4 linked regions of the Alligator mississippiensis genome follow. The protein of the gene in region 1 binds, or shares a complex with, the protein of each later gene. Links are inferred from orthologs where the notes say so. Each region holds a gene or a part of one and is shown in the gene's direction. Other genes may lie near its edges. The genes, in order: RAB35, DENND1B, RUSC2 and ACAP2.

The links.
Region 2: the proteins of RAB35 (region 1) and DENND1B are in contact, whole or in part, in a crystal structure (PDB 3TW8), measured with the Homo sapiens proteins. The link is inferred for Alligator mississippiensis from reciprocal best matches to the Homo sapiens genes RAB35 and DENND1B. Residues at the interface, in NP_006852.1 of Homo sapiens: Lys10, Leu12, Ser17, Ser36, Tyr37, Ile38, Thr39, Thr40, Ile41, Gly42, Val43, Asp44, Phe45, Gln60, Trp62, Thr64, Ala65, Gly66, Arg69, Phe70, Arg71, Thr72, Ile73, Thr74, Ser75, Thr76, Tyr77, Arg79, Gly80, Thr81; in NP_001182144.1 of Homo sapiens: Met1, Arg4, Glu43, Ser47, Phe51, Val72, Leu73, Thr74, Asp75, Ile76, Glu77, Ser78, His211, Glu212, Arg213, Arg214, Gln242, His243, Ile244, Ile246, Leu249, His252, Leu253, Asp255, Tyr256, Cys258, Ala259, Pro260, Met261, Pro262.
Region 3: the proteins of RAB35 (region 1) and RUSC2 are in contact, whole or in part, in a crystal structure (PDB 6IF2), measured with the Homo sapiens proteins. The link is inferred for Alligator mississippiensis from reciprocal best matches to the Homo sapiens genes RAB35 and RUSC2. Residues at the interface, in NP_006852.1 of Homo sapiens: Asp4, Tyr5, Leu8, Phe9, Lys10, Ser22, Leu26, Asp30, Ile38, Thr40, Val43, Asp44, Phe45, Lys46, Ile47, Lys58, Gln60, Trp62, Thr76, Arg79, Gly80, His82; in NP_001129471.2 of Homo sapiens: Val997, Lys998, Asn1001, Asp1005, Val1008, Thr1013, Arg1015, Lys1020, Glu1119, Glu1155, Leu1158, Leu1159, Gln1161, Pro1162, Leu1165, Leu1166.
Region 4: the proteins of RAB35 (region 1) and ACAP2 are in contact, whole or in part, in a crystal structure (PDB 6IF3), measured with the Homo sapiens proteins. The link is inferred for Alligator mississippiensis from reciprocal best matches to the Homo sapiens genes RAB35 and ACAP2. Residues at the interface, in NP_006852.1 of Homo sapiens: Arg3, Asp4, Tyr5, Leu8, Ile41, Gly42, Val43, Asp44, Phe45, Ile47, Lys58, Gln60, Trp62, Phe70, Arg71, Thr72, Ile73, Thr76, Arg79; in NP_036419.3 of Homo sapiens: Val715, Ala718, Asn719, Ala720, Asp721, Val723, Thr724, Arg727, Leu728, Arg730, Met731, Glu734, Met735, Ser738, Glu748, Thr749, Gln751, Arg755, Asp756, Gln759, Met760.

The regions. Positions count from the first base shown.
Region 1 is NC_081833.1:21,328,305-21,335,648, forward strand, and holds the start of RAB35 (ras-related protein Rab-35), read left to right. Parts: upstream 1-4,341; 5' UTR 4,342-4,497; coding exon 4,498-4,549; intron 4,550-4,998; exon of another isoform or gene 4,999-5,013; coding exon of another isoform or gene 5,014-5,026; intron 5,027-7,344. UniProt on the Homo sapiens protein: The small GTPases Rab are key regulators of intracellular membrane trafficking, from the formation of transport vesicles to their fusion with membranes.
Region 2 is NC_081828.1:66,335,780-66,342,937, reverse strand, and holds the start of DENND1B (DENN domain-containing protein 1B), read left to right. Parts: upstream 1-4,153; 5' UTR 4,154-4,409; coding exon 4,410-4,426; intron 4,427-7,158. UniProt on the Homo sapiens protein: Guanine nucleotide exchange factor (GEF) for RAB35 that acts as a regulator of T-cell receptor (TCR) internalization in TH2 cells. Acts by promoting the exchange of GDP to GTP, converting inactive GDP-bound RAB35 into its active GTP-bound form.
Region 3 is NC_081826.1:301,427,268-301,434,476, forward strand, and holds the start of RUSC2 (AP-4 complex accessory subunit RUSC2), read left to right. Parts: upstream 1-4,195; 5' UTR 4,196-4,311; intron 4,312-5,271; exon of another isoform or gene 5,272-5,397; intron 5,398-7,209. UniProt on the Homo sapiens protein: Associates with the adapter-like complex 4 (AP-4) and may therefore play a role in vesicular trafficking of proteins at the trans-Golgi network.
Region 4 is NC_081830.1:89,273,470-89,280,324, reverse strand, and holds the start of ACAP2 (arf-GAP with coiled-coil, ANK repeat and PH domain-containing protein 2), read left to right. Parts: upstream 1-3,850; 5' UTR 3,851-3,920; coding exon 3,921-3,973; intron 3,974-6,855. UniProt on the Homo sapiens protein: GTPase-activating protein (GAP) for ADP ribosylation factor 6 (ARF6). Doesn't show GAP activity for RAB35.

The DNA.
Region 1 (7,344 bases):
AAGCTTGCAGAAAAGGACAATTTTCTTGCCATTTTCCAGTTGGTCTAATAAAAGGTATCATTTTGGAACCAAGAGTTCTAGTTTTTTGTATGTCACTGTATATATTGAAATTATGATTCTTTTATTATAGCAGATAGGTAGGAAGGGGTACAGAATGTGACAGATCTCTTTAAGAAGGGTTGTTCATTTCAGTAATTAAAGGCACTGGTCTTGTGGACACATGCTCTCTCTCTTTATGCATCCTAAAGTAGTTTCCACTTACAAAAAGCAGTGTTAAGACAATAACATTTTTTAAAGTTCCACTGTTAGTATGTGATCATGTATGGGTATTTTAACATTCATGTTAGGCTGAAGATTATAAATTAAGTGCTTAAAGCAGTGGTGCTCAGCCATGCACAGGTTGTGTCATCTTGTCTGCAGTGTTCCCCATGGGTCCAAAAATTTGGTGGGGGAATAGTGGCAGTCATGACTTCCAGGGCCATGGCAATTAACACTGCCACTGCTCCCCCACCCCCAATGGTCCAGACCCACGGGGAGCCCTGTGGACTGGATGATCATGCTGACACATGGGTTCATTCTATGACTCCATCTGGTGTGTGCGGTTGCATCCATGGACTGGCCCTGTGTACTGACTCAGTGCTGGATCTGATCTGTGCCACACATTGGGTCTGTGGGGCCGGAAGTTTGAGTACCGGTGGCTTAAAGACACTTGCACATAGTTTTCACCTTGAATAGCATCAAGTGAAAAATTCATGTTCTAATTGAAAGCAATTTGGTTGACAGTTTGACTTTAAAACTAACATGACAAATTGTTTTGGTCTCCTTTTGGAAAGAAGGTGCTAATTTTCAATATTTAACTATACAAAAATCTAAACTTGGCTGTTGTGATTTCAATGTCAATGTTTCTGATTTATCAAAATATTTACACACTAATATATAATAACTCTGATGAGTGGGTAGCTTCTGTGCGAACTTGAGAGAGAGCAATTTTTTTTCATGTTATATGTCTTCCAAATAAGCCTTTCAGTAGAAGAAAGACATTTTATACCACTGACTAAACTAAGAGCTTTGAATTGTCAAGTTACTGTCAATGAGTGGCAGTTGAACTGCATGTAGATCCGAAAGAAATTTGTTGGAGAAATGTTCAAACTTGAAAGACTTTATCCAATTTAAATGAAAGAGACAGGAAATTCAGATGAAAGTAGGAAATATCAAATACTTGGATCTCAAGATAATCTTGTTTTATGAAACCGATACTACTTCCTAAACTGATACTATTGTGAAGTGTTCATGTTGTAGGAAAATCACTGATTTCAAGCATTCATTTAAAATTATGAGAGAAAGTCTCATGAGATTTTTAAGAAGAAAGGGGAGGGCTTATTTCTCATTTGTGGGGTTTTTTTTGCACCTTTAGGATGTATGCACACTGGTCATGTCTTCATCTTTTTTCTATAACTGGGCACATTTACACATGCACTGTAATGCACATTAGCCTATTTTAATGCATATTAAAGCATCATGTAAATGACCTTGCTTTTTACTAATGCTTATTAAAATTGGCTAATGCACAGTAAGCATCACGTAAAAAAGCATGCTCTTTAGTTGATGCGCATTACACTAGGCTAATGTGCATTTTTCTAGTACAGCAAAAGCTCTGTTATCGGGCACCCATGGGGAATGGGGGGTGCCGGATAACCAAATATGCCGGTTACCTGAGAGGCCCAAACAGCATCTTTGCCTTTTCGGGCTGCCACCCCTCCCACCGCATCCGGTGTGCTGCTGCCCGTCCCTGGCATTAGTGTGCTGGAGGACAGGGAGGGGGGCCCGGCACAGGCTGCTTTGCCCTGGGCCATGGAGGCTTGGTGAAACCAGAAATGCCATAGTGAGCACTTCCGGTTTTGCTTTTGCAGTGTCAACCGGCATGCTGGTTTCTAAGGTGCTGGATAACATGGCTTTTGCTGTACCTCAAAATGGAAGGCAGTTTTACATGTGTTCCAGTGTTGGTGAGGTGGCACTTTAATTAGACCAGCTCCGAGAGCCACTCTAATTAGTGTTGCTGCATCTTGTGCATCAGTGTCCCTGTGCTTAAAAATGGTGGCAGGGGTGCTTGAACTAAAGCTCGTTTGACGAGCTTTGGATAAAGTGCCCCCACCACCATTTTTAAGCATGGGGATGCCGAAATGTGAGGCCCAGGAGGCTGCTGGAGTGCAACAATTGCCATGCTCCAGCAGACTTGATTAACTGAGTCTGCTCCAATGTACTGGAATTCCCCGGGCATTGGAGCAGCCTCCATGCTCATGTGTAGGCACCCAGAGACACTATAATGCACATTAACTAAAGCGCATTAATGGATGTGTAGATGCACCCACTGAAGGCTAAAACATAAAACAATTGCAAGACTTACAATCAAAATCATAAACACTGGCCGCACTGCTGAATGGGGATGTGGGAGGGTGGGGTGAGAGAGATATTTTACACATTTTATAAGCCAAAAATCATCAGCGCACAGCTGCCTGTGATATCACCCCACTAGCCTTTTGCAGTCTAACTGGTATATAAATTATCCTGTGTAAATGGGAAGGAAATAATTCCAAAGATGATTAAAGATGCAAGAGACGTTACTTGTGAAAGCAACAAGATCCCAAGCCTTCCCGATCTTAATCCCATCATATGCAGGCTTGATAAAAGAAATTATTCCCTGCCAAGTGAGCCTGTGGAGAAATAGGAGTGGAAACAGCTATTTCCCATAAACATGTCATTCATACAGAAGAGACTATTAATCTGATTTATATAGGTGCTGTTCCAGTGACAAATTATTCTACTGAGGTCCTCAGAGCTTGATATATTCTAATCCTTCAGTGTCTGTGAAGCAGAAGACTGATTCAGCTATATTTTATATCTCACACATTATAAAGGGTCACAGCATTTTTTGAGTTTCACTCTACTTGTCTGCCAGGTTTTCTACCTTCTGCCAGCCTGCAGATATCAACAATCTGGCAGGTAAATGTTATTTTTCAGAGCTAATTATTCCAATTTTAAAAAGAATGTGTATTAATAATATACCTGAACTGATAAATTGTAACCATATGCTTAAATTAAGAAATGAGCTGCTTAGCTTATTGAAATAATTGTGTCAATATTTTGGCTCAAGTAACTACAAAAAAACTTGGCAAGACTGCAATTTTATCAAGTACCTAGAACACCTGTTTAAGTGTTTCTTTGCCTCCTTTTGTGTCTTTTCAGCATGTACCTACAAATCAAAAATTGGTGGGGGAAAAACCTAAATAAACGACATGCTAAATTTAAAACAGGCTTCCTGGACTACTTTTTAACAGTAGATCCTGCAGGCCCTAGTTCAATCAGACTGATCAGGGTGTGCAGTCTGTTTGCAACGCTAACGAGCGATACACACGTATTTACAAGGCTCTTTGGGTGAATCTTACCTTTTATGAGGCCAACTTAGATGCTTGGAATTTTTTTCCAACTGGATTCACCCAAAGAACCCTGTCTGCCCGTCCTTCGACCGACACGGCTACGACCTACACCCCGTAATGAGTGCGCATAGGCATCTCGGCTGCCTAGTGGGCAATGTTGGAGCAGCAGGTGTGAGCTTCTCTTACGAAGGTGGCAGTGGCTCTAGGATGTATAAAACTGTCCCGTCCACAGCGATGGACCTCGTGTTTAACAGCGAGGGGATCCAAGTACAGACGGGAAAGCAAGGGGGTGCAGACGTGGCGGCAGCGCTGTGCAGAGGCCGGGCCCGCGGCTGCATCCTGGTATTGGGAATGACCGCTAGCCCCAGCTCCGGAGGCTTGTGACCCCTCTCGGGAGCCCCTGGGGTCTGGGCACCGGCCGGGCTCGGTGCGGCCTGCCCTCGGGGCAGCAATGCCGCCCTAGCAGGCAGCCGGGCAGCTGCAGGGCTCGTTCACAGGACGACCGGGTTGGACGGGCCTGGGGCAGTCCCTGCCGCAACCATCTCATCCACACGTTTTTCCAACCGGCTCTTAGCAACGACCGGGCCGCGTCCACACGCTGCAGCTCAGCCTCTTCCTTGAGGCCGCTGCCCTGGGCCCCGACCCGGGCCCACCCCTCCCCCCGCCAGGTGCGGCAAGGGCGCCACGCCCCGCGAGGAGCCCCGCGCCCGCACTGCGCATGCGCGCTCGCAGAGCAGCCGGCGCTGGGAAGCGCCAGGTGCAAGCACGGGCCCCGGCTGCTGGGCGGCGGGCGCGCCAAGTGCGCAAGCGCAGGGGGGCGCCGCCCGCCCGCGCGCATGCGCAGGCGGGCTCGTAAGGCCGCGCGCATGCGCCCGGGGCAGCGAGCGGCTGGTGGTGTCCGGCGGCGGAATCAGGCCGCGCAGGCGCGGGCGCAGGCGCGTTGCGGTGCGGTGCTGTGCGGCCGCTCGGGGTGTTGCAGCCGCCGCCGCTGCCGCTGTCAGTTCCGGCTGCTGCTTCGGGAAGCGGATCGGGCCCCGCCGCCTCAGAGCCCCGCGCCGCGGCCATGGCCCGGGACTACGACCACCTCTTCAAGCTGCTCATCATCGGCGACAGCGGTGCGGGGGGCCGGGCTGGGCTGGGCCGGGCGGCTCCGGGGGGGCCGGGGCGGGGCGGGGCGGGGCGGGGCGGGGCCGGGAGGGAGGGAGCGGGGTGGGAGTCGTGGCCGGGGCGGAGGGGCGGCCTCCCGCTTCCGGGGCAGGAGCTGATCCCCGGCCTTGCCCCGCCGGGGCCGTGTTTGTGCCCCGTGCCTGGTGCTCCGGGCTGGCCTGGGCCTGTGCTTGGGGCGGCCCGCGCGGGGGACTCGACGTGAAGGGACGGGAAACGCCTCCGGAGGCAAGAGGCCGGGGTGGCCCTCAGGCGTGCGGGCTGCCCCGGGGCGGGGGCCTGGGGCGAGCGCCCTTTGGCCTTGCGTCCGGACTTCGGTCAGCCCCGTTCCCCACCGCTGCCGCCTGCAGCCTGGAGCCGGAACTGGCACGGGCTGAGCAGGTGACATCCACGGCGTCTCTTCGCAGAGGTGTGGATGCAGGGCGCAGGTCTGCTCGACTGCGAATGAAGCATCGCATGATTGCAGGATCGGTCACCTCTGCAGCTTTATGTCAAGAAACGGCTGCCTGTGCCCATAAGCAGCAGCCCTGTTTAAGGCTATAGGGCCATATAAGGCCCTGTTTAAGCACCCACTTCTTAGGAGATGTGGGAAGGGCCTCGACACCCCTACTTTATGTAGAAGCAGTGGCTCTTTTGCCTAGTGGTCAGTTTCAGACCAATTTAAGAGAAAATAATCTGTATTAGAAAAGACTTTGTTTTTGTCTTCAAACATTGGAGTGCAGTTCATAGCTGCTGCTTAACTTGAGCAAAGCCCCTAATTGCTGAGCTCTGTTCAGTACGAGCAGCTGTATTATAGATGCCTGCAGCTCTGTGTTTGTACGGTTAAATCTCAGGATGGAGCTAAAGTATTGCTTTTTGAGTGCTTGTTCCTTAACTCCAAGAGGGAAAGCTTTGTCCCTCTTTTGAGAAATGTTTTGCTTGCACTGTTTATTGATCCTTAAAGAAAAGGCTAGTTATAGAAAAATGCATTGATGTTAGATTGGTTGAAACATCAGCAGCTTTCCCTAGTGTGGAGTTGAGAGGATTTTGAAGAGCTTTAAATCTGAGTTTTGGGGGTTGTTAAACAGGCCAGTTAAGCAAACCAACCAACCACAGAACTTTTTTTTTTATGTTGCCAAGAATTGCATCAAGTCTTTTTTGGGGGAGGAGGTGAAAAAGCTTGGGGTGGGGGGTGGGAATTACTGATATGGCTAATCCATAGCTAGACTTATTTTCCTGCTTCCACTTTTCTAATTGAGCTAGAGCTGGGTTTGTTTTGAAAGCTGGTTACAGTGCTGAAACTGTCCTGTGGCAGATCCCAACATCAGTCAGCAAAGACTTGTTGCTTACTTTTTTTTTTTTTTTTTTTTTTTGCATGGGTGGAAGATGCTCCACTGACCTGCTCCACAGCTTGAAATAACTGCATAGGAAGTGGGGGTCGGGGGAGTGTGGTTTCTCTATACATGAGCATTGTGGGTCATGGGTAGTGCTTTGTTAGTGGAACATACAGAACTTTCTGCCTTCAGGAGGCTTCTTCTTAAGGAGCTCTTTGCTTATTGTGGATCAAGGCATTATTTACTGCTGAAGTAGATCAGCGTGGCAAAGTTCAGTTAATTTGCAGCCCGTAGAGTTCTTCTGTGTTGCTTACAGCTGGCTTCCTCTTTACTACACTGGTGCTGTCTGACAAAAATATTTGTCCCTGCTTGTCTTCTCTGCTGTGAAGTGAGTGCTGAAGCTGCTCTTACCAAAGTTATACACTTCTTTTGCTGGGGGCTGCATCACTGTTACTTAGACAGATCAAGTGCAGCTCTTTGTTAAAGCCTGTTTAACTGGAGTTGTCTAGTTCTGGACTTGTACAGTTACATCTCGCCGTGGTGCTAAAATATTGATTTTGAGTGATTGCTTTTTAACCCCAAGAGGGAACCCAGTTTCCAGAAGCATTTTGCTTCCATCCTTTATTGATTCCTGAAGAAAAGCCATGGGATAGAAAAATGCATTGATGTTGGGTATCAGTTGAATCTAACTGGTCTGTGATCTGTCACCTTCTTGGAGTTGAGGTGCTTGGCCTTTGGCTGGTTGAACATGGTTGTCAGTACAATTAAATCTCATGTCATCTTTGTATTACAGGCCTCAGAAGCAGGCATGGCTTTTTTGGACATTAAGGAGCTAGCCTTGAGCTCTGGGCAAGGGGGGTTTAGGTTATGGGATGGTTGGATGTTGCAGGTCATCTAGTGGGATCTGAAAAGGCCACTGAGAACTACAAGAGCTTTCTGTTGGCATCGCACAAAGCCTTTGCAGGAGTGTGCACAGAGTGTGTTAATAAAACAAACTGGTTTCTCTGACTTGCCAAAGTAACTTCTAAACAGGAACACCAGGACCAGGTTGGCCAACTGGAGTTAAGTGGCTTCTCTAAAACTAGTGCACAGAGGTGACAATCTGGGGTGCCCTAATCCCAAATACATGCACATGAAGGGACCAGTTTCTTATGATGCACACCTTTTTGTTTTAAAAAAACAAATCCAAGATGCTTAAATGGGGAAGCTGCAGTGTGGCAGCGGATTACGTAGCACCTTATTCATATTTTCATTGCTTAAAATACTTTTAAAGTATTGAAACATCTTGGCAAGGGGCTCAACTTCAGAGTAAATCTGCAGTATAGAATGCATGTTGCTTCTTGCTAGGTATGGAGCAAGCATATTTTGGATGATCTTCATAGGACAGTGGTTCCTGACCTTGTGACAACTGTACCAATTTATGTGTGCTGCAT
Region 2 (7,158 bases), on another chromosome or scaffold:
ACATGCACTAGAATTTTCTCTTGGTCTTATTTTTCCTTTAGAGAAGAAGGGTTCAGATAGGGCCCATGGTGGAATGGCATAACAGTACTTTTCTCAACACTGCCCTCTTTTTATTAAATCTAACTGGAGTTTTAATGTAGGTATTAAGTATCAAGATTGCCAACTCTGTCCCCGCTCTTCCAAGCATGAAAACTGGGACACTTTGTGTCAGTTGTGAGAATCTACTTAGTTTACTCTTAGTGATAAACTGTTATAGAATCATGAATGGGAATAATTTCCCCAATCAAGAATAAAGCCACAAGAGGCCCAGAGGATATGTGAACCACCCATCCTTGAGCCAGATAAACCCAACAGGCTAGGTGGGATTCCTACACTGCATCAATATGTGCTACAGTGAACTTGTGGTCCATCAAGTCCAAAAATAGTAAGCAGCAGATACCTCAGAAAAAGTGTAAGACACCACAGAGGAAAGATGAAGGTTTCATTTAAATCCATCGTTGCGATTGACTCGAACCCTAAACATGAGGTTTTATCTTTTTGGGTACATTTTTTTTATTACTAGCTATAACAATTCTGGACATTCTTTTAATCCTTATAAACATCCAATCCCTTTTGGAGTCCAAGTCATTGGTGTTTAGAATTTGCCATCCTTTGATTTCTTACACAGGCTCTTTTTCTTGCCTTACAAGACAGGAAGAACAGAAGCTCGCAGTCTACATTCTCTATTTTATAATGTCATCTTTTGTTTGTTTCATTTCTAAGGTTGACTCTCTTTAATTTCTCTCCAAATTAAAGTTTTTTCATAGCTTTATTTTTTTCTTGTCTCCCTTTTTTGAATCTCATCTACTAAAATATTTCTTTTATAAGAAATGACCCCTGGACATACAGATCATTTTAGATGATGCCTTGTAAACATAGTGTACTGAAGGGAGCATCAGATTTTGGCATTTCAAGCAGGTACATTTATTTGTTGGCAGATTTTACGGGAGTATTTTTGCTTCACCTCACTTGATACCCTCAGAGAAGTTCATTTGTAAGTAGTTCAGCAATGGATGGATAGCCTCAATGAAAGCAACATTGAATTAGTGTTTTTAATTAAAAAAGATAGTTGGAAAATATTCTACAATAAGATGAACCCCAACATCTTCCATGGACTTCAGTGGGAGTTGCAGGTCCGCTTAAATGTGACAAAAAATTAATGCAGAATTAAGTATGCAGAAAGTTAACACTCAATGTTCATTCTTTTGCTTCAACTTTGAATTGGTCTTGTTGCACATTCTGTATGTTTTATTGCATCTTAATCTATATACAGCGAGACATATAGATATAAGATGTGCAACGTGGCCAAGAAGAGATTGCATCAGAATATTTAATATTTGTAATTTCTTGGCTTTTGCATATTTGAATTTTCAACCTCCATGATGCTATTTTATGTGTTTAATATATAATTGGCTTGCACTTATTCTTCTCTTCAAGTGTTGATATTATGATTGATTTCAGAGGGAGCAGCAAAATCAATGACGTTTGTGCTTTGGCACAGTAATGTAAACTTTCTGTTTTATAAATGTTTCATTGCAGTGAATGAGGGTGAGGGTGAAGGAAACTTGGTGTGGGAGGGAATCTGGCTGTTTAGTTCACTTAAGATGAATGGGTCTTGGAGCTTTCTCAAGGCTAGTGCTTGTTTTTCTTCCATTTCATAGTCAGTAAGACTTCTCTTGTGTGGAAAGCTACTCATGTTGATTGTATTTACTGATATATTTTGTGGATTTAGCGTGCTAATTTCTTCCATTAGATTCCCTGTTAAGCAGTTTGTTAAGGACCTGGGACAAAGGAAAGATGAACAGTAAGCAACAGTAACATTCATCATCTTTTCTAGAATCCTCAAAGCATTACTTTCCCCCCACTGTGATATGAAATATATGCAGTAGTTATAAAATCTCCAGGTAAATAATCTAAACCTGCTCACTTTATACACCTGTCTATTTTGGTCCGTCTGATGATTTATACAGGATATAATATAACGGTTGCCAAAATGACTGTAGTCCTTACAAACTAATCCAAACCTCCTGAGTTTACTGAAGAACAATTGCAAGGCAGCCGTAATGCATTGAGCAGCACTAACTGCCACTATGATGATTAGCCACTGCTGTGATGGTAGCCCCAGAGGCAGCTACTGGCACTGCTGTCCCAGTTGCCACCCCCTCCCCCTTAGTTATGTTACTGGTTTGCAGCCTGTAGAGCTTGTGTGATTATGGTCCATCAGTTTCTATCGCTAACAGCACACCAGGAAGCATCCCATCCTGTTGCCTTTCCAAGCCAAATGACCAGATACCCATTTATAGCTGGATCAACTGGGGCTTGAACTCTCTCACCTCTGGAGCTGTAGTGGACACTTTAACTGTCCTGTCACTGCACTCCTATCTGTAAACTTAATGGACCAAATTTAACCCTGGCATGAGAGCTCCTACTGAAATCAACCTGAGGGGCATCTGTTTGCAGTAGGGCTAAATATAGCCCAGCGAAAGACCTTGACTCAAATTATTCCTTTACACATGTCCAACAAGAATCGGTTTCTTAGCAACTAATATTGAAACTGTCCACACGGACATATATGTACTTTATATGTAAGTAGTTGATTTGACTGCAGCGGAGCTATTCACATGCCTAAATGCTGGCAGGATTAATGCATTTTCTGTTTCCTCACTTGCGCTCTTTCTCATACACTTTCAACCTAGGAGTAGAAATTCTGTTGGTCTGAAGCTAGGCAGAAGGCAGGGTGGTGTGGCACTGTCCACACTGCCCAGCCTTCTGCCTGCTTTCACCCTTCAGGGCTTTTTGTTTATGAAGTCTACGAGGGCCTGGCTGGGCCCTGCAAGTTAAGCCATTCGAATAGACCCAGGTTCTTTGAGTAAATCCGACATCTTTTATTAGACCAACTCAAATAGTTGGAAAACTTCTTAGCAGGCTGTCTGCCTGTGTCCTTAGACCAACATGGCTACAAACTACACACCTCAAATAGACCCATAAACCAACATGATTTGGCTTGCCCAGGACTCATGCAACAATGTGGCTTTTCTGTGGATTTTGGATTCTTATCAACAGCTGTTGGACAAATTACAGTGGGTCAAGCTAAGCCTGTGCCTAAGATTTTTTTTTTTTTTATGCAGCTGGGGCCTAACTGTTGAGTCCTTGCCTTAGCTGCTGGTCTCACAAGCCCCAAAATGCGGCCAACTAAGTGTCACTCTGAAGACAGGGGTATAGGTTGTAGCCATGTTGGCCTAAGGACACAGACAGACAAGGTTCTTTGGGTAAATGATATTTTATTAGACCAGCTCAAATAGTTGGAAAAATTCTTTTTTGGGTATAAATACCCTGTGTCAGGCTGAGGCAGTGGCGATGTATAGGGGGTACATGGGGGTGCATGTATACCCCCTGACAGGCAGCATTCCCCGCTTAGGTGGTGGGCTGGGGGGGATGTGGAAGAGCTGATGCCCCCCCTTAGTGCCAGCTGGGGAGTGGGGGTGCCAGGAGAAGCACTGCTGGGATCAGCCACAGGGGACCTCCTCTCCCTGGTCCATGGGATGAGCTGCGGGGGACCCCCCACAGTCCCTGACTGGCTGCTGAGGGGGCAGGTGCCCCGCCCCGACTCAGGAGCACTAGTCACCCACGGGCTGAGGAAGCATCTGCAGCTGGTAGAGCCCACACCAACTGCAGAGACTTCCTCAGCCTGGCCCAGGGCATTTATACCCGAAAGGGGCAAAGAAGAATTTTTCCAACAATAAAAAATATCGGCCACTCTTGGAAGGTGACTTCGCAGGCGTTTCCCCCAGCGTTTTCTCTCTGATGATGAAGGGTTTGGCTCTGGTGCAGCAAAGGGGTTACTGCAAAGGACCCCTCTGTCTCCGTTTTTGCCCTGGAGGGGGGAGGGAAGAAACCGAAGGGATCTGAAGCAGGTGCGGGCGGCGGGGGAAGGTGGGTCGGTGCCAAGGGGCTGCAGGGGAAGGCCGGGTCCTTGCTGTGCCGGTTCCCGGGTGCGGGTGCCTGGCCGCGGGGGGGAGGTTCCCACGCCGGGCCCCGCCTCGCTCGGGCCAGGCCGGCGACCCCGGCGGGCCCGGCCCGGGCAGCCCCCGCCCCGCGGGCCCAGGTGACGCGGGCCGAGGAGCTCCTGCGGCCGCCGCGCCGCTTCCTGGTTCCCAGGAGGTGCCGGAGCCGCGGCAACAGGAACTGAGCGGCCGGGGCGGGGGGAGGAGGAGGTGCCGCCGCCGTGACGGCCCGAGCCGGCGCCGCGCCGCAGCCGCCAGCCGGCGCCGTGACCCCCCCCAGCTCCCGCCGCCTCCCTCCCCCGCCCGGCGCGGGGCCCCGTCCCCCTCGGCGCGGCGGGAGCGGCCGCCGGGGCCCGCGATGTGAGCATGGACAGCAGGATCAAGTGAGCGCGGGGCCGGCGCGGCGGTGCTACCGGGGGCGGGGGAGGGGGCGCCTAGGCCCCGGCCCGCGGGAGGGGGGTACTGACAGCGCGGGGTTCCCCGGCCCGCGGGAGGATGCTGCCCTCTCCCCGAGGCGCTGCCCCACCCCCGGCATCTTCCCTGCCCCTCGTCACGGAGACGCCCGCCCCGCCTCACACCCTCCTCTGAACATGGCCCCTCCTGGCCAAGCCCTTCATTGCCAGGCCAAGCCACACACGCCCCTGGGCTCACGGGGGTGTCCCCGCCCAGCCGGGGAATCTGCCTGGCAAGAGGGGGGCATCGCCAGGGGGTGGTTTCTGCCCCTCAGCACCCTGCTCCTTGTGGATGCCAGGTCCGAGGTCTCCTGGGGGTGCCCCCCCTCCCCTCACTTTCTGCTTTGTCAGAACCAGAGCAAACTTGGCTTGGCGCTACCCAGACTCTGACCAGCAGCAGGTCCCTCTACCTGGACATAGGTGACTGGTAGGGGGGGCATGTGCGCCCCTTGACAGGGCCATCCCAACCACCACTGCCAGCTTCTGCAGGTGCTCACCCATCCCCGCCACCAACGCCAACCCTAGCTTCTGTGGGTGCTCGCCATCACTGTCTCTGCCACCGCCACCGGCTTCTGTGGGTGCCCCCTGAGATTTAGGAGGCACCAGTCACCCATGTACCTGGATTATGTACCTGCAGGGTTCGAATTATGCCTTGACTCTTGGGGGGGGTGGTCTGCAAAAAAAAAAAAAAAAAAATTGGGCTGCCCATCACCATGCCCTAATGCCTTTGAGTGCCACACTGGCACCCATACCTACTCCTGCATTTTGGTTGGCACATGTGCCTCAGGGTAGTTGGCAGGGAAGGGGCCACGGCTGCACTATCACAACAAGGATCGGGCCCTTTGTGGCTTCCTCACCATTTGCCCCTGGCAAGCGAACATCTTGCAAGTTGAGGTTGCAGGTGTTTCTGGCACTCTGCCCAAAAACATTGCTGATTCCTGCCCTAATGGAATCAGAGACCGCACCGCCCCCTCACTCAGGTTATGATTTTCAAATCTTACAGGGGGCTGTCATCTCTTATGGGGGGGTTCAGGCTCCCCAAGCTCCCCCCGTAATATAGTTAAAAAGAAACTAGAAGTTTTAGTAATGTGCTAGTGGCCTAGGCTCCTAGCATAATTATAATCCCCCAAACCCTGCTAGCCAGTTTAGGAAAGCAGCGACTCTCATAATTTTTCACATGCAGAGTTTTCTGCTTGTCTCTCCGTAGCTTCTGCAAATAAATAGGGCTGGTTTTCAGCAATGGAGTTGTTTGCCCTGGTTGCTGAACTTGTGAAACATACAGGTCAAGTTAGCTCTGGTTCTGAGGAAGTACTGTGCAAATACCACGTAAAATATAGTGAATCAATAGGGTGGCTGTTGATCAACAATCCTCTGAATCTAACAACATTTTTATAATATGCTGTTGAAGAGAATCTTCTTTCAGAGAACTTAAGAGCATATAGCTACACTAGAGAAAATATGAGCGTTATCCTGGTTATGAGTGTTGATAAAATAATTTCAGTGAAGTTAGTTGTTTGTAATGGTTTACAGTTACTTACTAATTGATACACAACTATTTTGAAGTGCCAAGTAAATGGTTATAAACCTAGCTAAAACTAAGTTATAAAATAGTGTGAATACATTTTGTCTCTGATTCTGTAAAAACAGGCCTTTGAAATACTTTTACGGACTTCCTTAATCAGAGTGTCATGATGAGAGGCTAAATCTCTCATATTTACTCTGAATATGTGTGCTGCTGTTTAGGAGTTGTGATAGACAGTCTGACAGTTATGAGAGTAGATAAGTTTGTGAAGGGTAAATTGAGACCTACTTTTGTGCAAATACAGACTTTACGGCAGTATACTGAAGGGAGTGGATATATTTTCAAGAGCTTCCTTTGTGACTAAGTTCAGTTAAAAAGTGGAACTGTAAAGTCCTAATCCTGTATTTTTTATATTGTTTCAGGAGAGATTAATAAATTAAATACAGTATAATGCCTTTCTCTTAGAAACAAGTGGACAGGGAAATTGAGCCAAGAGACTAAACCAACACTGCTGGCTAGAATTTTATTAAGTCCTTTCATGGCAGGGAGGTGGTGACATTCTTCTCACTACAGGGTGGATTCACAGTCCACTCTTTCCTTCAGCGCAAAGAGCTTGACTCTCTTCAGTTTCATTTTGATTTTGCTAGAGCAAATTCTGTATCATTAACACCTGTGTAAATTGTTAGTACCCTGGGTTTATATTGGCATAACTGAGATCAGAATTTGGCTCCCAAGTTTGCATAGGGCCAGCCTTAAAAAGTTCTGCAAAATGATGTGTTGTGGGTGGGATGTGTGATTGTTATACTTTCCTATAAGACCTGAGTCTTGGTATCATTCCATATTTTCGTAATTGATAATGCCTAATAGTCAGTGAAGGCAAAAGAAATTATGAAAAAATAATTAAATAACTGTTGATAGTTGAAAGCTTCCCTTCCAGTTCAGAATCCTTCTAAAATTAAAAAAAATTAAACCACCATCCATGATGTGTTTTATATGCAACAGTCTTGAAATCTGGAATCCAGTCTCTAAGGCTAGGGACTGACGTTACACATAAACCGGTTTAAGTGATCAGAGACTGGTTTAAATCTGTAACAAAACAGTCATTCAGTGCATATAAACCAGTTTGAAAATGGTTGAAATC
Region 3 (7,209 bases), on another chromosome or scaffold:
CCAGGCCGAGGGGCACGGGGGCAATTCTGCTCCTGCCGGCCTGCAAGGGGTTGGAGCGCGTGGTGCAAAGCTGGGTGCGCTCACGAGATCTCCCGTGGTGCCATCCTTTCGTCCCTCGATGCAATACCTTAGAGCACGGCGATGCTCCGGGGGAGGGAGGCTTGGTGTTGGAAACTCTGCCGTCCCCACGGCTTTGCCTCTGCCGTGAGCGATGGCAGGGGGATCCCTGGCCCTGAGATTCAAGCCCTTTGCTCCCGAATGGTTGCATGGCAAGCCTTGGTCTGTGCTGGACCTGAGCACTTTGGAGGGCACGGGGCAGGGGATGACCCCCCCAAGTCAGTCCAGTGTTGGTCCCTGCTATATGGCCCTTGTTCCACGGCAAAGCTCTTCATCCCTGCACCGACCGGAGCAGTGACGTCCAGGTGCAAGGACTTGTCACCTGGGTGTCCCAGCTGACTCTCATGGCAGGGCAGACCCAGCCAGGGTCAAGTACACCTTGCCTTGGGACTCTCACAGGGTGGCACTGGGGCATCGGAGGGCAGAGACTGCCCCGCTGCTGCAGGGCTGGGTTGGGGGCTGCTCCTGTGCAATGCACGGGGTCGGCTTGGTGGTCTTCTGCCCTCGCCTCTCCTGAGCAGCAAGGGCGAGAAGGTGCTCGGGACCAGGAGCAATGCAGTTTCCCCATACCCGCGAGGATCTGCCAGCTCTTTTGGTCTTGCATGCGTGGGTTCATCCACCGTCAGCTGGGAGGATCTCCAGTGCACCAAATCACCAGCCGAAAAAGAGGAGCTGTTGAGCGGTTTGGCTTGCGGTGGGGTCCTGGCTTCAACGGTGACCCTGTGAAGCTGCTCGGGCACTAGCTCCCCTTCGGTTTGGCTCTTGGGGACCCATGTGTGCAGGCAGACGGGCGTGTTGGCGTGGCAGCTTGGAGCGTGGTCACTGTGCCGGCCCGAGCAGCCCCGCGTGTGCCAGTCCCGAGCTGTGATGCACTCCCAGCATCGCATGGTGTTTTGTAGACCTGTTTTTTAACAATAAATCATGACTGATGGGACGAGTAACCCACCTCCCAGCTGTTCGTTGACAAAGGGAGCGGGCTGCAGGGGTCCCCGGGAGGGGCTGGATGGGAGCGGGGTGCTGTAGGGTGCAGGGTCCTGGCCCAAGACCAGCCACCGTGGAGGAAAATGGCAAGAAACCCGGAGCCGTGGGTTCAGACAGGGTTTGAGACTCAGCCCGGCGCACCTGTGGGCTCGTGTTTTACACTGCCGTCATGCCGGGGTTTTCACATCCGTGTGAATTGCGCACGTGTGTGCCCTGCTGTGCTCGGCCACGGCAGCCGTTTGTGCAGGTTTGGAGGAAGAACGGCTTTGCTTTCCAACAGGGCTCCAAGGCCGCTGGTGCAGGGCCTGGGGCCGCCTCTCATCCCTGCCACAGTTCACTGCGTGTCCTTGGTCGTGCCGCTGTGCGGCCATGCCCGTGGGCTGGCCTCCCACACTGAACCCCAGCAGCCACAGCTGGGAACTGTGGTCCAGGTCCTGGCACGAGCCGAATCTTACTGCCCCCAGCTGGCCCAGGACCAGGGGGTGTTGGGGATGGCCCTGGGGCAATAGAGAAGGGCAGGGAGGGGAGCATGGGAACTTGGAGCAGAAGGGGCGTGGCCTTGGGGAAGTGGGTAGGGCCACTCGCAGCCTATCTGTGGCTATGGGGGCCAGGTCTTGCAGATGTTGGATGGTGGGCAGGGCTTGCAGCCAGGCCCCGCCCCTGGGCTGCAACATAAACTGTGGGCTGCAGGGGACCTGGGGTTTGCTCAATGCACCTCGTTACCACTGCATTGCCTGTTGCGCTGCCCACTACACCACACTGCCATTGCGTTTGCCTCCTCGTTGCCTATCGCACTGCCCACGGCACTGCCCCCTGCATTTCCCACTGTACTGCCATTGCATTTCTAGCTGCATTGCCCATTGCACTGCCCTGCAGCTCCAGGGTGCTGCACTGGGGCCCTGCCCCCCACAAGCCTGGACATAGTTTGCCCTTGGCTGGGACCCCCTGCATCCTACCCGGCGTCAGCGGGGCCCCACGCGTGTCCGGGACAGCCCAGGGGAGCTGACGGTTGCGGGGACGATGGCCTGGGAGCCAGAGGCAGGCAGGTGCCACAGAACTGCTCTGCTCCGACGTCTGGTGTCGCGTGAGGAGCGTGTGATCCTGTCCTGCTGCGCGGCTGCCTCGGCGGCGAGGATCGGTTACTGTCTCCTAGAGATGCGGGTCAGGTGTTGCCCCGGGACAGAAGCCGAGGGAATGGGAGCTGCCCGGGCAGGTGCAGGCTTTGCCAGGGCCGGGCGTGACTAACAACCCCGTGGCTTCGAGGAACGCAGGTTCATTATCGATCAGCGGCTGCATAATGTATTTTAAACATGCCCGTTGCCCGTGTTGGCACCTGCATGCATTGCAACTTGAATTATTCAGGGCCCTGCAGCACTGGAGGAAGAGCTGGACCCTCGGAGGACTGCTAGGCTGACTATTCATCCCTCTCGGATCCACCCAGAGCTTGTGGCCCTGTGCCCTCCCGGCTCTCCCGGCGGGGGCCTGTTGCTCCTTTGCAGCCTTGTTTATTCCCGGCTCGGCTGCTGTATTTAAAGCCAGCAATCCCGTCCCGGCTCAGCTCGCTTTGGCAGCCTCCCCACGCTCAGCTCTCCTAGGCTGGCCTTGGCAGGCGGCTCCCCCCTGACCCTCCGCACGAGGGGACCAGGGCTGTGCACGCTCGCTTCCAAATGAGGTCCGGGGACTCTGGTGATACTTGTCTCTCGTCACCAGTGATGCATCCTGGGGTTGCGCTGGCCCTTTCCGTGGCTTCGTCATGTCAGCGGCTCATGGCCCTGACTGTGCAGCTGAGCCATACCCGTGTGGCAATGATTCAAAGCGATAGTCTGCACCTCTGGGTTGCTGAATTGTTGGGCTCGGTGCTTGCAGCCACGGTGCTGCTCCGGCCTCCTCTCCAGCAGAGAAACTCCAAAATCCCATGGAGAGGGGGAGAGGCCGTGGGGGCAAGGCTCTCCAGCCAGGACCTTGCGGGGTTGGTGCAGCAGGAGCATTGGCACAGCCCAGCCCCAGCCCGGGCTGCAGCACCCAGCGCCTCTGTGGGGTGGGGGGTGGGGGGGGTGCTAAAAAAAATCCTGACCTGCAAAACAGCAGCGAGAAGGCAATCTCCTCCAGCTGCAAGTTTCCCTTCCCCTGGCTGGGGGGAGGGCAGAGCTGCCACCCCCCCAAATCCCCCTTCCCCAATGAACTGAGCCCCTCCCGAGCCTTGGTTTTAAGGGCAAGCTCATCTAAAGCACTGGAGGATGCAGGTCTGGTTGTCCAGCGTGGTCCGTGGCTCAGCTTGTGGCCCTGGGGTCAGCGTGTGCCCCTTGCTGTCATGCATGTGCAAGGGGGCTGGGAGCACTGGGATGGACGCTGGCCGGGCAGAGGATTTTCTTCATCCTGTCCTCCTCCCCAGCGCCCGGCCCTGAATCCCCCGTTGGAGTTTGTTGCGTGTACCCTGGCTCATGCAGGGTTGGAGGCCGAGAGACTTGTAGGGCATCTCCAGGGAGGTGGGAGCAAGCGGGGTCCTTCGCCCAAGCCCTTCGACCTGCCCCTGGAGTGAAACGGTCACCTTCGCGGGGCGAAAGCAGGATTTGGGGCTCTGCTCCGGGTGGGAATTGGGGCTGCTCGGCCCCGCGGTGTAATGAGCTGAACCGGCCTCGAGACGGCTGCTTTGGGGCTCTCTCCTCTGCCCGTGTTCGTGCAGCGCCGTGCACGCAGCCACCGGCCCTGCCTCCCATGGGGACGGGTGCCTCCACCCTGCATCTGGAAGGCCCCGGCGGGGTTGCCGGGCCTGCGGCGAGCAGCCTCTTGCACAGCCTGGAGCTGTTTTTAAACCAGACAAATGTTGGGGCTGAGCTCCCTTTTTTTAGCGCATTCCTGCGTCCAGGCCGGCGGCTCCAGGGGCGGGCGTGCGAGCTGGCCCGGGCCTGGGCCCGGGTACTCGCAGGCAGCCGGTCCGCCTGGCAGGCAGGGCTGGCGCGACGTGGCTCGCTGCGCGGCCTGGCTGGGGTGTGCATTGCTGGCGTGCCAGGCCCCAGCCCTTCCCTTCCCGTCCCGTCCCGTCCCGTCCCTTCCGGAGTTTGGGTGGCTCTGGCCGTGGGCGCCTCCCTCTGCATTCCTGCCGGCACGTGTCGTGTCGGGGGCAGAGCTGCGGCTGCCCGGAGATGCTGTCGCTGCGCCGTGGCCCTGTCGGGACCAGGGCGAGGAGTGGCCCCTGAGAGCGTCTGCGCAGGGGTAAGTGGCAGGGGAGGGGCCCCTGGATCCGCAGTGAAGCCAGGGGCTGTGCGTGGGTGCGAATGCCTTGTCCCGGCAGCACCCCCTGCCCCCGCGCTGCTGGCTATATCCCCATTTCACAGGCGGTGAAACTGAGGCACGTAGCGGAGAATCTGCGGGGCCCTTGGAGCATCTGGCTGGTTATTTCCCTGTTTCACAGATGGGGAAAACTGAGGCATGTGGTGGGGAATTTGTGGGCCTCTTGGAGCATCTGGCTGGTGATACGCCCCTTTTGCAGGTGGGGAAAACCAAAGCACGTAGTAGAGCATGTGCGGGTCCCTTATGCCTATTTCACAGCAGGGAAAACTGAGGCCCGTAGCAGCGAATCTGTGGAGCCCTTGGAGCATCTGGCTGGTTATTTCCCCATTTTACAGGTGAGGAAAACTGAGGCATATAGCAGAGACCTGTGGGGCCCTTGGAGTATCCGGTTGATGATATGCCCATTTCACAGGCAGGGAAAACTAAGGAATGTAGGAGGGAATCTATCAGTCCTTTGGCACACCTTGCTGGTGACGTGCCCATTTTACAGGCAGGAAAAGCTGAGGCACGTAGCAGGGACCTGTGGGGGTCGTTGGAGCATCTGGCTGGCTACATGCCCATTTCTCAGTTGGGGAAAAGTGAGGAATGTAGAGGGGAATCTGGGTCCCCCGGGGGTACCTGGCTGGCGATATGCCCATTTTACAAGTGGGTAAAACTGAGGCACGTAGCGGGGGCTCTGCATCTCGGCTGGGTGATTTAGAGGGGCCGGCTCCACGGCCGGGGGCTGCCCCCAGACCCCAGACTGGGATGCAGGGAGCAGGGGATGGGGACAAGGGGTCCCCTGTGCCGGGGCAGGGCACTGCTGAGCTGTCCGCAGCCCCCTCCCCGGGCCGGGCTGGGCCGGGCTCCCGCCTCCCTCTGGCCGCCGGGGCGGAGGCAGCTCCTTGCCGGCTGCAACTCGAGCCGCCTCCTCTGTCCTTCGTCCTCCTCCTCCTCGCCCGCTGCTCGGTGCAGCCAGGCCCGGAGCCGCCCGAGCGGGTCCCGCCGTCCCCGCATCACACCGGGCAGGTAGGAGCTGCCCCTGCCCCTGCCCTGCAGAAGGCGCCCATGTCGGGGTGCTGCGATGGGCAGGGAGGGGCCTAGCCCTAGCCCGGCTCTGTCCAGCCCCCGGGGTGGGGAAGGATGCTGGGCCCCATCCAGCCGGGCACCCAGGGAGGCTTCCCCCCTGGGTGGGGTGGGGTGGGGTGAGGGAAGGGCAGCTGCCCCCCTGCATTAGCCAGGGCCAGCCCCAAATGCAGACCCCCTTCCTCAGCCCCCTCTCCCAGCCCCGGGAGCCGGGTGGGCATCGCTCCGCGGCAGCCAGGCCAGCTCTGGGGTCAGCAGCTGCGCAGTCCGCGCCCCGGGGCGCTATTTCGGGGAATGGCCCTGCCCGGGATTAGTCAGCCCAGTTATGTGATCGGGGTTAAAAATAGCCCGGAGCCCTGCCCCGAGGCTGGCCGGCTTCACGTGGGGGGATGGGACCAGAGCGCCTGTCTAGATCTGCCGGGGCTGAGCAAGGGTCCCCGAGGCGCGTCCTGCCCGCTGCCCTGAGGTGGCAGAGCCCGGCCCCAGCCCCAGCTGCCGCAGCACGCGGTGGGACTCCCGGGGCAGCAGCCTGCCCCCCGGTTCTGTCCAAAACTCCCGCGTAACCGCCATGACTTTAAACGCCCGATGGGACTATCCATCCAAACACGTGGTCCAGGAAGTGAAGGGTTAATATTGTTACGCAGCCCATTCCCTATTGGAGTCTAGCTCCAGCTGGTTCTTCCTTACTGGGGCTACTGGGAGGGGGAGAGTTCAAGGGCAGGGGAAGCAGCTGCTTGCTCAGCCCAGCTCGAAAGGCCGATGTGGGCTGCGGGTCTGGGTGCGAGTTCTCTCCTGTTGTGCACCCCGTGGATTCGTGGCCACAAAGAGCGTGGCCCTGCAGCCTCTGCCTGCGTCTGGGCTGGTCCCTGGCCTTGCTGCCGAGGGGGGTCGGGGGCTCCGGCGGTCTCTGCTTGGCTTGTGTGGAAAACCGCCGGGAGCGGTGACGATGCTGGCCGCGCCGTGGAGGGCTCTGGAAGCTGGCAGGCTCGTGGCTGCTCCTGGCTGGGCTCTGTGCACCCGCCTGGGCGAGGGGCCGATGCTGCTGGTGCAAGCTCTGGGGAATGGGAAGCCGGGGCCTTCCCAGTCCCCCACCTCCTGTGTGTGCTCATGTGTGCGTGCATCCGTGCACCCCACCGGCAACAGCGTGTCCACGGAGGATGCTGGCCCTGCCTGGCCAGGTGCACGGCTGCCGCAGTGCTCCACGCTGGCTCCGTGCTGCTCGGCACCTCCTTGAGTGGTGGAGCCTGCTGGAGGTTTACCTGCCGGAGAGCCCGTTCACCGCCGGCGGGTCTGGCTGAGACCTCGTTGGCGAGCTCGGTGTGGCCTGTTGGAGAGGCAGCGGTTATAAGAGTGCTTAGCCGTGGAAAGGCGTGCTGTTTGGGGAGGTTTTGGGGGGTGAGCTCCATGACCGGGAGCTGGCACGGAGCAAATGCAGGGCCGAAACGAGTGCGGTTGTTCCCCAGGCAGACACGATTCTTTGGGTCAATCTGATATCTTTTATTAACCAGGTCAGAGTTGGAAAAAATTATTTTTGCAAGCTTTTGGGCAGGCTCTGCATCGCTGCGGTCATGGCTGGGCAGCTGTGTCCAGAGCTCTGCTCCGGCTGGGCACGCGTGGGGCCGGGCCTGTTGGTCATGCCGGGACGATGACCCTAGGCCCCCGGGATTTCCAAGCCCCGTCGCGGGCTGGAGGGAAGCTGCGAAGGACACGGCAAGTCATTGCTTGCAGCAGCAGATGATAAAGCAGGCGTGGGGG
Region 4 (6,855 bases), on another chromosome or scaffold:
TGCTGTTACCATCTGAGAAGAAGTAGCTGTCTGAGTAAATCCACATCAGGGCAGTGGAGATGGGGAATGATACGTGCTTGTGTGGCATCAGCTCTTTATGCCACCCAAGTGACTACTGGTGACCTTGTCCCTCTTGGGGTTCGTAACCCAGGCTGTGAAAACCACTGGCTTGTGTCTCCTGATCCAATGCAACTTGCAGTAGCTGATTCTGTAAAATGAAGGCTCTTGGGAGGAATAGCTGGGAGGCTGCCGTGTAACTTGACATACTGTTTACAGGGTGGTTGATAGCCCTGATGGAGAGACATCACTGAACCTCCAGATTACTGTAAACAACAGCCCACTCGAAGGATTTTGACTATGGTGAATGTTCTAGTATTCAAGGTAGTACTTGGTTTTATTATACGGATGAAGTATACTTAAAGCTATGGCTTAGTTTTGGAATACTTTGTATTCTGTCTATTTCTCTTAGTTTTGATCTAAACTTGAGATGTTGCAAAAGTTCATATAATTATATGGACTTGTTTTAATGACTTTCTGTCTACTGTACATGTGAAGTTTGAATAAAAGAATGAAAGTTATTTTACAGTTACTTGGATTCTCATGTGTGAGCTTTCCTGAAACTTAGGGTGTGTAGAATGAATGAAGGGCAGGCACACTTGTCACTGGGAAGCTGTGGTACTTCTGTGGGATATTGCAGTAGACAAGGGTCCGTATGTGAGCTGTGCCAAATGGGTGTAACTGTGTGTTTTCTAGCATCCCTAATTGATGCTTTTCTAAGCTATGTGTTGCCAGATCTTGTGACATTTCTGGTGGTGTTTTCCTTAAAGTCCAACTCTTGGGTGAATAGCTTCAGGGAAGGGAGATGTGAGAATCTGTTTTCCTCTAGACCTCATGGTTGCAGAGGATGTATTGGACAGTAAGGTTTCAAATCAGAAGGCAAGCAGAACCTCATGGCCATGAGTTGAGGGATAACAGAAGAGGCTGACTTGATTTATGAGGGCTTGGGGTCAGCAGAGAGCTTCTCAGATCTGTTTTTGTTGCTTGAAATGGTGGTTGTGCAAGACCCCAATTGAAAGGTCTCTTCTACTTTAATAATATAATAATAAAAAAATACAGCTTGATAAGTGTTGCTTTGGGTCGGATCCTGAGATGCTGAGGCTCCTGCTGGATGTGAGACGATAGATTTGTTGCTTACAGAGGTTGTCACATATTCCATGGGAATAGGTCCTTTCCCATTTCTCTTGACACATGACAGTTTCTAATGCGTGCGTGTGTGCATGTGTGGGGATGACGACAATGTGTGCTGGATTTTTTTATGCTGTGTGTGGTTTCTTCCTTTCATTCGGCAGTTCTTTTTAGATGCCTTTTACCTCATGCACTGCCATGGCCCAAGTAAGAGCCAGATGGTGACATTTTAGGAAGAATACACAAGTGGTAGAGCTGGCTTGCTAGATTTAGAGACTTGTCATAGACAGATCCAGGTGCCAGTACTTGTTTGACTTGGCATAGTTCATTTTTCAGTGTTGACTCTATTCAGCATTGTAAACCCATTCTTTCCAATACTGCGTGTGCCATCTGTTAGTTGAGGACAAACATAGCGAACGCTGTGTAGTAGAGACGGCAGTTTAATACTTTTAGGTTCTGAACCTACATATATTGATTGTCCAGGGTCTCGTTTTCCTCTAAGGTCCTATGGAGAAGCTGCTGTTTGTATCCTTGGGGACTTAAAATAACCCCAAAACAAAAATATATATATAAAAAAAAAAAAAAAAAAAAGGGCCTCTCTCCCCTCTGTGGCAAGTCCATGGACCTTTGGATGACGTGGACATGTGCTTTGGGGAATGTCATGTGCGTGCCCCAGCTTTTAACCGTGAGCAGCTGGTCTGGGGTGTACAAGTCCTGTGATTTGGACTAAGACCTGTTGTGGAGCTCTTCCTGGTGGAGGTAGTATTGTAGTTCAGCTATAGTAATATTAGTGTGAAGCATGGGTTTTTGCTAGACTATCATCTTAATGTCCAAATCATCTTAATGTTGTTATAGAAAAAATTCTGTATGGCATTTTGTGGGTTGTGAGGTTTGCAGTCTGTTTTCTGTAGTTGCTTCATCATTTCACTCACTTTGGGGACGACTTGATGTCCTTTTTTAAAATATGTGTTTTTTAAATTGCTTCAATCTGGAGAGTGGGGTTATTTGGCTTTAGCCATGCTTCCCTTTTATTTTTTTAAAAACGTACAGAGGTAAGTGTTTCTGAACTTGTGCATATTACAGGAGGGAGTGTGGCTGGAAGGAAAGCTATTGACCTCTGCCCTCCTTTTATAACTACTCCTTTTCAAAACAGCCTTCCTTTTCTGGCGTGGAGAGAGAGAGAAATCTTCCCGCAGGAAGAAAACAAGATTCCCCATGTGTTTTTTAACATCCCAGTGCTTGGGCAGGAGCCCAGGTAATACAGCAACATGTGGTGTAAAAACAGACCCTGTCACCACTTCTTACTAATTTTAAAATTGAGTTGTTACTTGTCTGTAACGAAGTTTTTGCATGGAAATATTTTTCTAAACTTGAAGTCCTTTGTAAAAGAACAAACAAAACAACGTTGTCAGTCGCTTGGAAATAGCTTCTGTACATTTTATATTGGACAGTGTCATTTGCAAATAGCATTAACACGTTTCCTTAAGGAACTTTCTTTTGACGTCAGCGCCTTGCCCGTCACGCCATCAACATGTTTTCTCACAGCCCGATCCCCTTGTGAAAGTGCTTGGTCTTTGTGCAAGTTTTGTTTCTCCGATACTGTCCTTCTTTTAACCTGCTTCATCCTAAGCGTTTTACCACACGTTGAATAATTTCACATACTGATCGCTTTCCCACATTTTGAAACCAGTCCTGAAAGTGTGATGCAAAGCAAATAAAGTTGTGCTGTTCCCTGCTCCCGTGCACGGCGGTGTGAAACGTCTGTTCTCTGGGGAATACGGTGCTCGCCGCCGCCGGGAGGGGCACAGCCGGCCGGGGGGTGTCCGCTCCCTCCGCCCTGCAAGCGCGGGACGCGCGCTCTGCTCCTGGCGCTGCCGTGTGCCCGCGGTGCCGCTGCCCTGGCGCGGCCGGGAGCGCAGACCGGGCTCGGGGCAGGCAGCGCGGGTTACGCCGATTTAAAACAAAGGGTTTTGGTTTTTTTTACTTAAAGAACTAATCGAAAACCCCGGTTTTGAGCAGTTCAAATGAAGCCCCACTACTGCGTGCGGAGAGCAGGGGCGTTTCATCAACGGGGGGTGTAACTTTCTGCGGCCCGTGCCCGGCGGGGGAGCGGGAGTCCGCGGGCCCAGGCACGACGGCCAGCGCCCGCCGCCGGCCCCGGGACGGCGGCTTCTAACCCGCCAGGCCCAGATCGGAGCGCTTCCCGGGTGCCGGAGCGGAGCGGAGCAGCGCTGCTGCGGGGAGGGGCAAGCCGGGGCGCGGAGAGCACGCCTCGCTTCTCTGCCATTGGTCTTCTAGTGTCGCTCCAAGAGCGCCGCGCTTGCTGGTTGGGTGCAAGTCTACTCTCTGTATCCCCATTGGGCCGTTTTGCGGTCATTCAGGCTAGAGGGGCGGGACCAGGAAGTGCCGCGCCCTCTCCGCCGTGCTCCCTGGCTGCCTCACCTCTTCCGGTGCGTCTCGGCTCCGGGCGGTGCCGGCAGGAGTCCTTCATCTCCGCCTGGTGATTGGCTGGGTCTTGCCTGCTGCGTTCTTGATTGGATAATCTGCCTGCCACTCCCAGCCATGGGCCGAGCCTGCGGACGGCTCCGCCCCTACCGAGATGCACGCCTGCCGAGCCTCTTTCCGGATTGGCCGGGCGGGCCGCCACTCAGCGGGCGGGGCCTCGGCGAGCGTGGCAGCAACGGGAGCGCAGTGAGCCCCACCCCCGCCCGCCGCTGAGGAGGACGAAGAGGAGGATGAAGATGACTGTGGACTTCGAGGAGTGTCTGAAGGACTCGCCGCGCTTCAGGTGCGGCGCGGGGAGGAGGGGGGTGCCCCGGACCCCTGCCCTCGGCCCGGCTGCGGCGCCTGTCAGCCGGGCTGCGCCCTTCTCCTCAGGGAGGCCCAGGCGCCCCCCGCACCCGCGCGGGGACGCGGCCTGGCCCGCCCCGCCCCGCCCCGCCTCGCCGACCCGCGTCAGGTCGTGGGCAGCGGCCCGTGGCAGCGCTGAGCCCCGCGCGGGGCAGACCCCTCCCGGGGCTGAGCGCGCCGCTGCTCGGGGCGCGCAGGGGTCTCCTTGCCCGCGCCCTCGCACCTCCGCGCCAGCAGGGCCCTGTGTCACCGCCCCGCCCCGCGCTCGCCTCGCCTCGCCTCTCCCGGCGCTGCCCGTGGGGCGGTGGGCGCGCGCGCTGGTGTCCCGGTGCCGTCTCCGTCGCGCTTCGGCCAGACCCCCAGCAAGGCCGGCGCGGCGGTGGAGCCCACCAGCAGCGCGGCCTGGCTCGGAGCCGGATCGTGGCGGGCCGCGGGCTGCTGCGGGGCAGTCGCGTGGCTCACGTCCGTGGAGCCCGCGTGGGGAGAAGCGGGCGCAGCCCAGCGGCAGCGGCTCCGCTCCAGCTTCCCTGCGGCGGGTGAGCCCTGCGGCGCGGCGCGGCGCGGCACGGCACGGCTGAGGCGCGGGGCTTGGCCGTGTCGCGCTGGGCTGTGTTCTCGCCCTGGCCCTCGTGGCGGGGAGGAGGAGGAGTTCAGGGGCGTGGTGGCTCGCAGGCCCTGAGTCACCATCTCCCTGCCCTGCTTCTCCAGGTGTCGCCCAACACTGATGTCCTGGTGCCTGTTTGTACAGCTGTACAGGCTCTTTTCTTGAGTAACGAGCTCTGCAAATCTTAACGTAGCGTGCATCGTTTGCGGAAGCGTCCCTCTCTGACAAAAGTTAGTGTGGTCAAAGGCGTGCGGGTGCGTTAGAAAGCACCGTGTTTGGAAGTAGAGCAGTGGAAAAAACACTGGTCAGACCCGACACGCTCCTTTTCAGCATCCGGTCTCTGCCCCGTGTGACGGGAGACTTGGCAAGAGGGGCTAGGGTCTGACCCAGGCCAGGGCAGTTCTTATGTTCTCCGGGTTCGCAATAGAAAGATTTGAGCAATTGCGGATAACGTGGTGGCAAGCGCTGGTCTCGGAGGAGGAGTTGCCATGGACCTGCAAAGTATCACGTGGAGGGAGAGCTCCTCTGCCGGCCTGTTTTACTGCGTGCGAACCACTTCTGCAAAAATCGTGTGCTGCTACGAGACGGGAAGCACTTGGGGCTCAGTGAGACATGAAGCATCTTCCTTCCTGATCCCCTTTTAAAATGCTGACAGATCGAAGGGCAGACACAGATGCGAGGCACAGTTCTCGCTTGTGTGTACGTCTTACCGCAAATGAAGACGTTGCTTCGAGGAGGGGCCGGATCCGGAGCAGGGCGAGCTGGCTTTGGACAGAGCTCCGCGCAGCAGGGACTTTTGGCAGAGAAGTGCTAGATAAAGAATTATTAAGATCGTGCTTGCGCATGCTGAAAATAAGGGAAGAACCCAACCCAGCTTTTAAACTGTCAAGGATTGGTTGAGCACTTAAAAAAAGTCTTTTTGTAACTATGGGATGATTTCCTTTCTAATATGTGAAACAAGCATAGCATAACAGAGCAGAGAGCCCTTTTGCATTTAAAAAGGAGAAGCAAATGTAGGTGATGTGGAAATCTCTCTCTAAGTGAAATCTTAAGTGTCAAGTCTTGCTAAAAAAATAAAAAGGATTCTGCTGATTTTGTAACATTTAACTGTACCAGCCCATTAGAAAATGTGAGTAGAACGTTTCAAGCTGAAAAATACAGTGGGAAGAAGTTATAGGTGCTTAGGGTCATTTTTATTTTGTTCGCTTCTGTCACTGCTAATGAGAATTGTAGATTCTTGCTGTTTCGAAGGGAATGTCTGTTTCCTGAACTCTGAACTGCAGGACAGATGGTGAGAGAATGAGGGAGAGAAAAAGTATAGAGAAAATGTGTTGCCAATTAGTACCTAAAAGTGAAATAATTTCTTGTCTCTGACTAGTTTGTAGGCATTTCTTTTCCAAAATGACTAGTCAGAATTGTGTTCGTCTAAGCTTAGCTAGTGTGGTCTGGTAAGTCTAGTGTATGTAAAATGGTGACTTCTTGTTGCCTGTGTTTTACAGGTTGATTTTATTTTTAATGTTTTTACATTAGTCTCAACCTGGCATTAAATCTGGCCTACTTGATTGAGTACAACTCGGAGACGCGTCTTTGACTGAAGGAATGCAGGCCCAGCACTGTTGCAGGATACCTCTGTTTAGCTTCTGAACAGATTTCAGTGAATGTTGTGGAACTGTAAGCCTCTAGGAAGGGCACTCTAGGATCACAGGAAAGTAGTGCTGGAACGGACCTCACAAAGTCATCTAGTCCGGCCATCTGCCCCAGACTATAAGCCGAGTAGACATCTAACTTGCTCTTGAAAATGTCCAAGGATGGAGAATCCACCTTTCTCTAGGTACCCATTCTAATATTTGACCATTCTCATAGCCAGAAGTTCCTCCTCGTCTCCAGCCTTAGTTTCCCTTGCTGAATCTTGAGGCGATTGCTCCCAGTCTTCTTCCCTCTGGTCACAGAGAAAAGCTCATCTTCATCCTCCCTGTAATTGTGTTTCAGGTATTTGAAGACTGTTATCAAATCCTCCCTCAGTCTTCTCTTCTCTGAACTAAGTAATCCTGGTTCTTCTAGCCTTTCCTCAAGTTTTGCCTCCGTGGTCCCTAATCATCTTTGTTGCTTTTTCCAATCTGTTCGTATCTTTCTAGAAGTGTGGGGCCCAAAAGTGGATACTGTGCTGGAGCGGGCAGTTCGCCCGTCTTGCTCCCACCCAGCAGCAGTGGTACCTG